Linked DNA regions of Canis lupus familiaris. The protein of the gene in region 2 binds, or shares a complex with, the protein of the main gene of each other region. Links are inferred from orthologs where the notes say so. Each region holds a gene or a part of one and is shown on either strand. Other genes may lie near its edges.

Region 1 (2,636 bases), on a different chromosome or scaffold from region 2:
CTTAATGAGTTAAGCAGTTACTGAATATTTGCATGAATTTCTTTTTTGAATGAAGAAACTTAATTTTGCTTTTGGAGATTATCAGTAAATAAATACCATTTAGAATTCCACTTTAAAAATTAGTCATTTCAGTTTTGTAAGATGACAAAAGTTCAGGAGATGGATGATTGTTATAGCTATACAATGTTGTCAGTATACTTAATGCCATTGAACCATACCCTTAAAAATGGTTAAGTGATTTAATGTCATATTTTGTCTATCCTCAAATAAAAAACGTTATTTAAACGATTAAAATGGTAAATTTTATATATATTTGCCACAATAAAAAAAAAAACCTGTGTTCATGAAAAACGGCAAGATCATGAGGCAGTTAATTTAACCTTGCACAACTATTCAGTCCTTCCATTATTTGTTTGCTGGCAAGTAGAAGCAGAAGAGCAATTGAATATTAACATAATTTACCTTTCATATGTGCCCTCACATCAATTGCCCCATTTGCTAAAAAAAGTTAAAATCATCTGTTAATGTTTTTGATATTAAACAAAGAAATGAATCTTTAAAAAGTCAGGACAAAGAACAATATACATAAATATAATTTAGACATTGAAAAAGTCAACTTTTGGTTTAAAAACTGTTTTCAGTTTTGTATATATACAAATATAAGAAACATTTGTAGTTTAATAAGCAGTGAATAATTTGTTTCATGTAATTTGGGATTGAATTTTTTTAAAGCTGCTGTGCCTTATTGGAGAATCTTTTGATGACTACAGTGATGATGTATGTGGAGCTGTTGTTAATGTTAGAGCTAAAGGTGATAAGATAGCAATATGGACTACTGAATGTGAAAACAGAGAGGCTGTTACACATATAGGGTAAGTTTTGCTATTTTTATACTTCCTTTAAAATATTAAGATAACTAAAAGCAAAGTACTGTTACAACTTTAAAAACACTTGGATTTGTAGATCATTATTTTCCTTGTATTGTTTTCATGAAAACTTATAATCTTGAACCTGCTCTATTGGTTTTCATTGTCTTGTCCATATTTTTTTTTAATTTCATTTTCCTCGCAATGGAGTATGTAATCAATGACCAAAGTATTCTATATTGGCATGTAGCATTTTATTTATCCTATGAGAATATTAAGTCTTTTTTCTACTTTAAAATCGTAACATTAGTATTACAATACTCATAGGAATAGTAATTCAGGGAGTATTGGCAAATAGTATATATTCTGTATACGTGTGTGTAAAAATTTCAGTGACTGACATTTAAATGATAGTATTTTAGTTCTGTCCATATTTTAAATGTCTGTTCTGTGCACATGTGTGTAAAATTTTCAGGGACATTTAAGTGATAGTATTTTAGTTGTGTCCATATTTTAAAAACCTACATGTGTAAGTTTTTAAATTTGGGGCATGGTGAATAATTGCCTGGAATTTCCCTATCCCCCAAGCATTGATCAGTATTAACTGGGATCCTCTTTTTATTACTTTTAAATTAGTAATATTTGACTTTTAATTTTGTGTTAAAATTAAGTATTGGTCATAGGTCACAAAATATTTGGTTTGCCCTTCGTGATTGTTTTCAAACAATATGAATTCTCCTATGAACATAATTCCTTTCTAGATTAAAAGATAATGGAGATTTTCCAGGTTTTTTCTAAAAGAGAAGTTGAGGGCAGCCTGGATGGCTCAGCAGTTTAGTGCTGCCTTCAGCCCAGGGCCTGATCCTGGAGACCCGGGATTAAGTCCCACATCAGGCTCCCTGCATGGAGCCTGCTTCTCCCTCTGCCTGTGTCTCTGCCTCTCTCTCTCTCTCTCTTTCATGAATAAATAAATAAAATCTAAAAAAAAAAAAAAAAAAGTTGATTTGTCATCATATTCTTAACCTTTCAGCATCAAAACTTAATAGTTTTGATTATTAAAAAAACAATTTAAAAAATAAGTATGAAGTTCTTTCCTCTGAAAATATAGTATTTGTGTCAGTATTTAAAATTATTGAAATCTTTGTGAAATATTTGACTTCAGTTTTTTAATGGAGGTTATTTTGTTTTGTTTTGTTTTTGTTTTGTTTTGTTTTTGTTTTTTTTTTGACCCAAGTTACATGGCTGAGTGCTCTGGCTTTCTGGCATTTTTATGATTAAGTGTAATGGAAGGGAATACTTTGTATCCTCATATAAATCTGATAATGGTTATTTTAGTTAGAAAGTTATTTTTAGAAACTTTATTTGTAGGAAGGTAGTAGAATCTTCTGGAAGGTATGAGTATGAATAAAACTATCCTAGTATCATATTGGAGAATTTAGCTCCAATATGTATAAATGTATGTCTTTTATTTTATTTGGGTGCTTATTTTTGAAGGTTTGCTGTCTTTTCTTTAGAATAAGTGTCCAAATCCCTAACTTTACCTGTGATGCTCTCTGTGATCTAGCCTCAGTTTTATTTAACCTTTTTAACTCATAGTCCCTTTCTTTATGAGCTGTAGCCACACAGCCTTATTTAGTTCCCCAGCCTTCAGATGTGCTTCATTCTCTCAGCATTTTACTTTTAACCTCATGACTTTTAAAGGGGAGATTTCTCTAATTTCACAGACAAGATTAGATCATCCTTGTTATACAATATCACAGCCCCTGTACT
Region 2 (3,653 bases):
AAGAGGTGAGCTTTGACCTTTCCCTGTAGGTCCTTGCAGAGAGTGCCCCCGCAGACAGGGTGGTTCCTGATTAGCTGCATGCTCTGCACATGGTAGGTATGCATCCCATATGTGCTGAAATAATGTCACTGTTTGGTAACAGTTATTTGACAGGCTCAGGACTGTTTGAATACACACTCCTAGGTGCGTAAGGGTAGCTGGCAGATTATGAGTATGGCAATGCATCAAGGTGCGTCCTCATAGGCATGTGTACATTGTGGTTTCATGAAGCTAGAGTGGGATCTAATTATCCTCAAACATTTGTTGAGGAGCGTGGGTGCTCAGCACATGTGGGAAGACAGAAGTACATAAGATCAGTCCCTTTTATAGAGGGTTAGGGGCACTGCAAGGCTTTTGGCTCAGTAGGCATCTTCCTGAGGGCACAGGCAGGTTTGCAGCCTGAGGGCAACACCTGTTCATGTCATTTCCTGGTTACACATTCCTAGAAGGTACACACCATCACAGCAGTGGGCAGAGCTGGTCTGTAGACTGTCATAGGATCACACTGAGGTTCCAGCTCCCTGAGACTAGCTCTTCTCCTGGGAGACAGGAGAGAACTTACGGAGAAGAGAATTGGAAAAGGTAGGTGTGGCATGATAGTCTGCTTCTAGAAAATAGTGAGGGGCAGTTGGCAGGAAGATGGAGGGTGATCAGTCAGAACAAAGCCAACTATCTTCTAATAGACTTTTCTTTATAAAGTATGTGCTTTAAAAAAAAAGAAAAAGTCTGTGCTTGATACTGTTCAATGCATGATTAGCAGGAATGAGATGCTGACTTTTGTTTGTTCTGCTAGATAAGGACTCTTGGCTGTGAAATTAAATTTTATGAGGTTTTCCTTTGCATCAGAATAGGCTGGCATTTATACTCAGAAGGGGTTATACTATTATACTGTTAGCTGTCGCTTTATTGTATCTGAAATCATATAACTTTTGCCATGTCTTTAAAATAAAATCTACATGGGATGTGGTGCCAAACTGAGATTTAGGATGAGTTAGCAGTGGGAGTTGGACTAGATCACCTAGAGTTGAAGCCTCACAACTGATGAGGGGATTCCACAGTGTTCACACCCCAGGGGTCCTGCTGGCTGGCTGCTCTGCTGTCTTCATGTGTTATCTCATGGTCCAGGATGGTTGCTTGAACTCCAGCGATCATTTCTTCATTCCAGTCAACAGGGAGGAAGGAGAATAGAAGGGGTCATACTACTTTTTATAAGTGAACTTCCAAGTTCCTTGCAGTATTTTTTGTTGTATCTCATGGCTCAACCATTAGTCACATGGAGATGAGGCACATTGCTGTAGCATGGAAATTTGGGGTTTATTTCTAAGGAGGCACAGAGGAAATGACTGTTGGTATAGGATATCAGTCTTTACCATGAGAATTTTTCTTCAATAAAACCCCCAAGTTTTTAGGTAGCAGACAGGTCCTTATGTGGACAGTTTCCACGAAACTTTTTTTTTTGGGGGGGGGCTGCCCTAGACATTCAGGAAGCTCACACCCATGTTTACATTGCTTTGCAAGACTCAGACACTCAGCGTGTACCTTACAGTCTTATTGTACCTAAGTGTACAGATAATTCTGTGTGTGCTGTTCCCTCTCTCCTCACACCTGCTTTGTGGGTAGACAGATGGACAGTTGTTGTTTGTTACAGGTGTGATAAGTGAGCTTCAGGAGAGTGCAGGGGGTTAATCCAAGATCAACTAGCCTATTAGTGGAGGAAATCGGGATTCTGTCTCTGACCATTGGCACAAAAACTGGGTGTGGCGCCTGACTTGTGGGAGGTGTGGTAGCCTAGGTGATTCTTGGCAGAGACACTGGATGGTGCTGACCATCTCCCTTACCATATTCTGGGAGTCAAAAGGGGAGGCAGTCTTTCTCAGACTTGGAAACAGGTCGCTATGGGGAGAAACCAGTGTTATTAGGTACCTGGCAAGAAGGCCTATGGTTGGCACTGCCACATCTGAGGAAATCTTTCAGCTGTGGACAGTGGGGTGGTGAACTGTCCAGGCTGGGACAAGAGTGACCTGGAGTCCAGGGTAGAGAAGCTCGAGGAGGCTGAAATTATAACCAGCTTCTAAGGCCCACATTTTTACATTTAACTGTAGCCAGATAAATAATCTGGATTATTTTATGCTTTTTTTTTTTCTTTTTAAAATCATTAAGCACATTGATTAACTCTTTTTTTTTGCTTTCAAAGAGCCGCTCAGTTTCTACGGAAAATGGCAGATCCACAGTCCATCCAGGAATCACAGAATCTGTCCATGTTCCTGGCCAACCACAACAAAATCACACAAGTAAGGCTTGCACTCTTGCTGCTCTAGCTGATGGGGTGCATGACTGGGGCCACAGCCAGGAAGCCAGGAACAGTCTATGGCATGGATCTCGCATTCTGTGTTTTAGTCTCTGCAGCAGCAGCTTGAAGTGATTTCTGGCTATGAAGAGCTCCTCGCCGACATCGTGAATCTGTGTGTGGATTACTACGAGAATAGGATGTACCTGACACCCAGTGAGAAACACATGCTTCTCAAAGTACGTGTGTGGGCATGGCTGCTTGCGTAACTGTGGAGAGAAGAGGCTGTGTTTTGACTACAATCTTTTTGGTAGCCTTTTCTTATTCTCATGCTTGCCACTGTGTGTGTGCGCATGTGTTTATACACAGTATCCTCCATGCACTAGCGGCTCTCAACACATTCGTATGACTGTCTCAGGCTTGACCTCAGTGCCAGTTGGGATCATATGCCTCCCCCGGGAAGGCATGCTTATGGGTGAGGAGGTCTGGGGTGGGGGCTTCTCTTAGCATCAGCTTCTTGCAGCAGAGGATACATCAGATTCCAATTGTTCAGGATGTGATTTCTAGGAATTAAGAATATGGCGTCTTCATGATTATGGTAGACTTTTCTTGGTCAAGAACATGACCATTCACCATATTGGGGAGGTCAGTGATATTTCTTACTGGGAAGAGGGAGGAGAAGGCAGTTCTGCCACTGCATTAGCTTTGCTTTCCACCTTTGGGGAGGATAGCCTTGAAGAACCTTGTGCTAGGTGTCCAGTCAGCCCAAAGCCTTCCCTGTAAGAGTGGGCCCAGTCCCAAGATCTCTTCCTGCAGGAGAGCACCATGGGCGAGTTGGTGCTGGAGGACGCTGTAGTGGACCTCTTTGTGATGGTGGAAATACTCTATGTGTGCCATCTGGGGCAGGAGCCCCTGGCCATGGATGCTTATGGAAATCCACATTTAGTGTTGCATTTGCTTGACGAGAGGTAGAGATGGTGTTTGTGCCTGGGGAAGACATTAAAATAGCCACAAGAAATGACACACATAGAAGAATAACTTCATATGAAAGGATATCTATTTATTTATAAGGAACTTTTAAAAGTGCTTTTTGCTTTTTGGGATCCCTGGGTGGTTCAGCAGATCCCTGGGTGGTTCAACAGATCCCTGGGTGGTTCAGCGGTTTAGTGCCTGCATTTGACCCAGGGCATGATCCTGGAGTCCCGGGATCGAGTCCCACATCAGACTCCCTGCATGGAGCCTGCTTCTCTCTCTGCCTGTTTCTCCGCTTCTCTCTCTCTCTCTCTCTCTGTGTGTGTGTCTCTCATGAATAAATAAATAAAAGCTT
Region 3 (4,196 bases), on a different chromosome or scaffold from region 2:
TGTGAACATTCTGACATTTTACTACACATGGGAATGTGTTTGATTACAAGGTGCTGACCCTGACCTCTCTGGGATGTTATATAACATAAAGTACATGTACTATATCCCTTTTCTAAAATCCCAAAAATTTTTTTAAAAATTAAAAAAAATAAAATCCCAAAAATTCTATATGCAAAAAATATCTAGTCCCAAGAACTGTTTCGTTTTTTGGGGTTTTTTTTGGCCCCAAGGTATTTTGATATGGTATGCTAAGATTAAGTCTTAAACAGGCTTATACTAAGTCTTACTAGTCTTATAACTAATAAAGCAAATGAAAATAGATCTTCACATACAATAAATTCAATGCCTTAACAACTATTCACATACACAATCCTGTAAAATGAAGCATCAAAAAGATTTTTAACAAATGTCAAAACTCAAGCACCATTACGTTTTTTCAAGTGACGGTGATATACATCACCCAGTATCTAAATCAATTCTTCTTAGGTTGAAATTCACTAATTTAAATCATAGTTAAGACAGACCAAAAGACTGCAATTGGTTACTGAGGAAAAGAATCAAGGGACGCCTGGGTAGCTCAGAGGCTGAGCGTCGGCCTTTGGCTCAGGGCGTGATCCCAGAGTCGCGGGATCGAGTCCCACTTCGGGCTTCCTGCATGGAGCCTGCTTCTCTCTCTGCCTGTGTCTCTAAGTCTCTCTCTCTCTTTCTCTGTGTCTCTCATGAATAAATAAATAATCTTAAAAAAAAAAGAAGAATCATCCACTGGTGAACAACAAACTCAGTAAAATGTTCTGATTTTAAGAAATTTATCTCAGGTTTCATACCTAAAATTTTTGCATTCTAGAATACAATTCCTCAACTTTGAACAAATTACAATGGACTTTTCCTGTGAAAGCGGGGCCTCAGACACGGACAGCAACAGGGATTGCTCCTAAGATATTTGAACTGCAAGAAGAGTTTCAAAGTTCTTTCCTTCCTTCCTCCTTCAGTTGCTGCTTTTCTGGTTTTAGAATTTCAAACAAAGAAATACATATTGGCTCCACTGCTAAGAAACGCCCTCTTTCTCAGCAACTTCCTCTTCCAATTTTCTTCCCCTATCATTGACACATGAGAACAATACACTCTGCCCGTCCTACCATTTTGATTAACCAAAAGCTGAGGCTTGAAAAAATTAAGGGCTACAATTTATAGTATCCAGCTACTAGTCTTTGACTCCAGGTCCAAAATCTTCACTCATCTAGAAGTCAGATAACAAGGAACACAAAGAAAGGAAGGAATATTATTCTTCATCAGAGGCAGGGTACTGAAACTTTCGTTCCAAGAATCGGAAGAAATTTGAACAAATGGAAAATTTCTCTCATCACAAGAAAATTTAGCTTTCTTAGGGAGGAGGAAAAGCTACTGACTGGGCTGGCACCACTCTGAACCAAGAGTCAAGTCTAAACACCAACAGTTGGTGAACTTCTACAGGTCACTTGGGTCAGCATCCAAAATGAGTTCTTTGAGGTTTTGACCTTTTACACTTCACAGTAACTTCTACAATTTAGAAATGGTCCTTTCTAACTTACAAACCGAAGAAAAGGAATGCACTTATAATTAGCAATCCGGAGATCAAGGTCCAGCCTGTCTCCATGCCATAAGTCAACTCAAGTGTCTGGGACCAGACCCCTCCCCCCAGTTGTGACAAAGCAAACTTCTTTTAAGTGGACAATGACTTCCCCCTTGTCTGGTGATTCTCAAAGGAAATCACCTTATGGTTGGTAAGCTCTGTACCTCACCATGTGACCCTGGACAAGTTACTTAACTCCCCTGAAACTCAGTTTCCTTATGTGTAAGTTCTCAACAGCCGCTGTAAAAATTCAGTAAGAACATAAGCCCAAATAAGCACTGGCACATAGTAGGAGCAGCATAAACGCTCCCCCTCCTATTCCTAACCCACCAAGAATTCTTTTGGGCCTAAATTTCAATCATTGTCCCAAGAAGCCCCAAGGATGCTATCCTCTCTTCTGATGCACTAGTGTATAAAACTTTGCCATCTCAGAGGGTCTAGGATCCTAGAGGATCAAGACAATCGGGAGTCCACCTCATCACAGTCTGGGGTCCATCCAGAGCTTTCACGGAAGAGCCCCTCTGGCCAACTCTCCTCCTGACCCTGCAGAACCATCCAGTACACATATATACGCGCACACACGTACACACAGTCCTCTCCACCACTCCTCCTGACCTAGCAGGCCAGAGGTCTCAAAGAGCACTTCAATTCCTTCACGGCCCAGAGATGGAAACTGGGGAAGAACTTGCCCGAGATCTCGGAGAACATCAGAGATCCAACTCATGTACAACTGCCTGCAAAGCCTTCGTTCTACAAATAGGGAAACTGAGGCCCAGAGAGGGAAGTGACTTGCCCAAGGTCACACAGCGAGTTAGTGGCAACGCCAGGTCAGGTTGAGGGCACTTTCCAAGCCTAGCAGATTTGCGGGCCCCCTCCAAGTCTCCGAGGGGATCTCCAGGACACCTCACCCCTGCGGAGGGGAGTGTACAGTAAGAGGCCACCCCGCGCTGACCGCTCGCCCGGCCACTGCCCGTCAGCGGCGGGAGGCGCGCCACCGACTCCCCGGGGACCCCGCGAGGCTCCGGGCAGGGGGTAGGCGGTGGCGGCGCGGCCGGGCCCGGCGCCTCACGGCGGGGCCCGCCCGCGGGGACTTGTTGCTCACCTGGTCGCGCGCGGCCGCCCTCAGAGATAGAGGGGCCGACCAGCCGCCCTTCTCCGCACGGGGTCTGTTCCCGCGGGCCGCCTCCCGGGACGCCGCACAGCCAGACCCCCCTCAGCGCGCTACGCCCCCAGCCGCGCTCACCCGGCCCGCGTCCGCCATTACGCGATTCCCCGCCCTGGGACGCAGCCACACCCCGCCAAAGGCCCTGATTGGCTCCCTGCCCCACCCTCCTGGGGCTTTCGGGCATTCCATTGGCCTGAGTCGAGTGCCAGTTAAATAGCTACGCAAAAGACGTACTCCCGGGCAGCGCCTGGGGAGCTCCACCCGAGCTACTTCCGCAATCGGAGTAAACAGCGGGGGGGCAAACCAAGTGAAGTGGGGGTGGAGATGAAGCGGGATCAACTCCTAAATTCAGGATAGGAAAATCCCACCGAAGAAAGTGGGAAAACTCGTACAAAGTGTATTGAAAGATGGGTTCTTCTCGGAAGAGTTCAAAGAACCAGGATTTTTGGTGTAAAAAAGAGGGCTAAACCTCTGAACTTTCTGTGGACACCCCTCAAGTTGCAGGTAGTTTTGTCCCTTCTCCCCCGGTCTCAGGTCCGACTGAAAGGAGGGTGGGGAGCGTGAGTCAGAGGCTCCTGCCCGCCGCTAAACGGTTCTTCCGGGGCGAGGTCTGGGGTTTGGGACCGGGAGCTGGTTCTGAGAGGCCAGCGTGAGGTGAGCAGGACCCTGGTTCGGGCGCCACCTCATTCTGCGACCTCAAACAACTTCCTGGACTTACCTGGGTCTCAGTTTGTCCTTCCGCAAAATAGGAGCAGTCATGTCTGCCTCCTGTCCTGGCATATTTGTTGAGGCCACGTGCCTGAGTTGGGTGCATGTTCGGTTTTTGGGGTTTTTTTGTTGTTGTTTTTTTTTTTTTTAATTCTAAAAGGCTGCGGCTGGATATCAATGTGACAAACTCACAAGTTAGCGATAATCTCTCATTTAGTTCTCTACAGCTACTTTGTAAGGCGGAGACTTCCCTCCTTTTGCAGGAGAGAAAATTGAAAACTCCACGACTTAACCTAAGTCACCCAGGGAATTTGAAACAACCCTAGGAGTCAAGCCTGTATCTTTTGTCTTCCATTTCTGTATTTCTCCCCACTCCCCACCCCCCAGGCTTGGTGTCCCCTGAGAAAGACTTTCCAACACCAACCCTTTAGCATTTCAGGGGCCAGGCCAGTCCCCATTTCTTTGGTCACCATAGGCCGCAGCTGTTTCCAGGGTCCTAAGAATCAGGACGTGAGTAGGGGATGACAGGTGGGTCAGCAACCCAGACAGAATCCCAAACAAGGACACAGAGAGGCAGTGACACATTGAGGGCCCTCAGCAGGGCAGCCTCCATGCCAAGACTTAAATCCAGGTCTCTCTGCTCTCAGAACAGGGCTCTTTTCATTGCAGGATTGTTTTTCCCAGAAGGGCTGCCTTGGCTGTAATTCCTATTCC

What was found.
Region 1: CYFIP1 (region 2) and EIF4E share a complex: the UniProt entries of both Homo sapiens proteins name them as parts of the CYFIP1-EIF4E-FMR1 complex. The link is inferred for Canis lupus familiaris from reciprocal best matches to the Homo sapiens genes CYFIP1 and EIF4E.
Region 3: CYFIP1 (region 2) and WASF2 share a complex: the UniProt entries of both Homo sapiens proteins name them as parts of the WAVE2 complex. The link is inferred for Canis lupus familiaris from reciprocal best matches to the Homo sapiens genes CYFIP1 and WASF2.

The regions. Positions count from the first base shown.
Region 1 is NC_049253.1:18,848,419-18,851,054, forward strand, and holds part of EIF4E (eukaryotic translation initiation factor 4E), read left to right. Parts: intron 1-732; coding exon 733-872; intron 873-2,636. UniProt on the Homo sapiens protein: Acts in the cytoplasm to initiate and regulate protein synthesis and is required in the nucleus for export of a subset of mRNAs from the nucleus to the cytoplasm which promotes processes such as RNA capping, processing and splicing.
Region 2 is NC_049224.1:32,059,552-32,063,204, forward strand, and holds part of CYFIP1 (cytoplasmic FMR1-interacting protein 1), read left to right. Parts: coding exon 1-5; intron 6-2,233; coding exon 2,234-2,330; intron 2,331-2,436; coding exon 2,437-2,565; intron 2,566-3,653. UniProt on the Homo sapiens protein: Component of the CYFIP1-EIF4E-FMR1 complex which binds to the mRNA cap and mediates translational repression. In the CYFIP1-EIF4E-FMR1 complex this subunit is an adapter between EIF4E and FMR1.
Region 3 is NC_049223.1:72,194,766-72,198,961, reverse strand, and holds the start of WASF2 (wiskott-Aldrich syndrome protein family member 2), read right to left. Parts: upstream 2,938-4,196; 5' UTR 2,853-2,937; exon of another isoform or gene 2,712-2,852; intron 1-2,711. UniProt on the Homo sapiens protein: Downstream effector molecule involved in the transmission of signals from tyrosine kinase receptors and small GTPases to the actin cytoskeleton. Promotes formation of actin filaments. Part of the WAVE complex that regulates lamellipodia formation.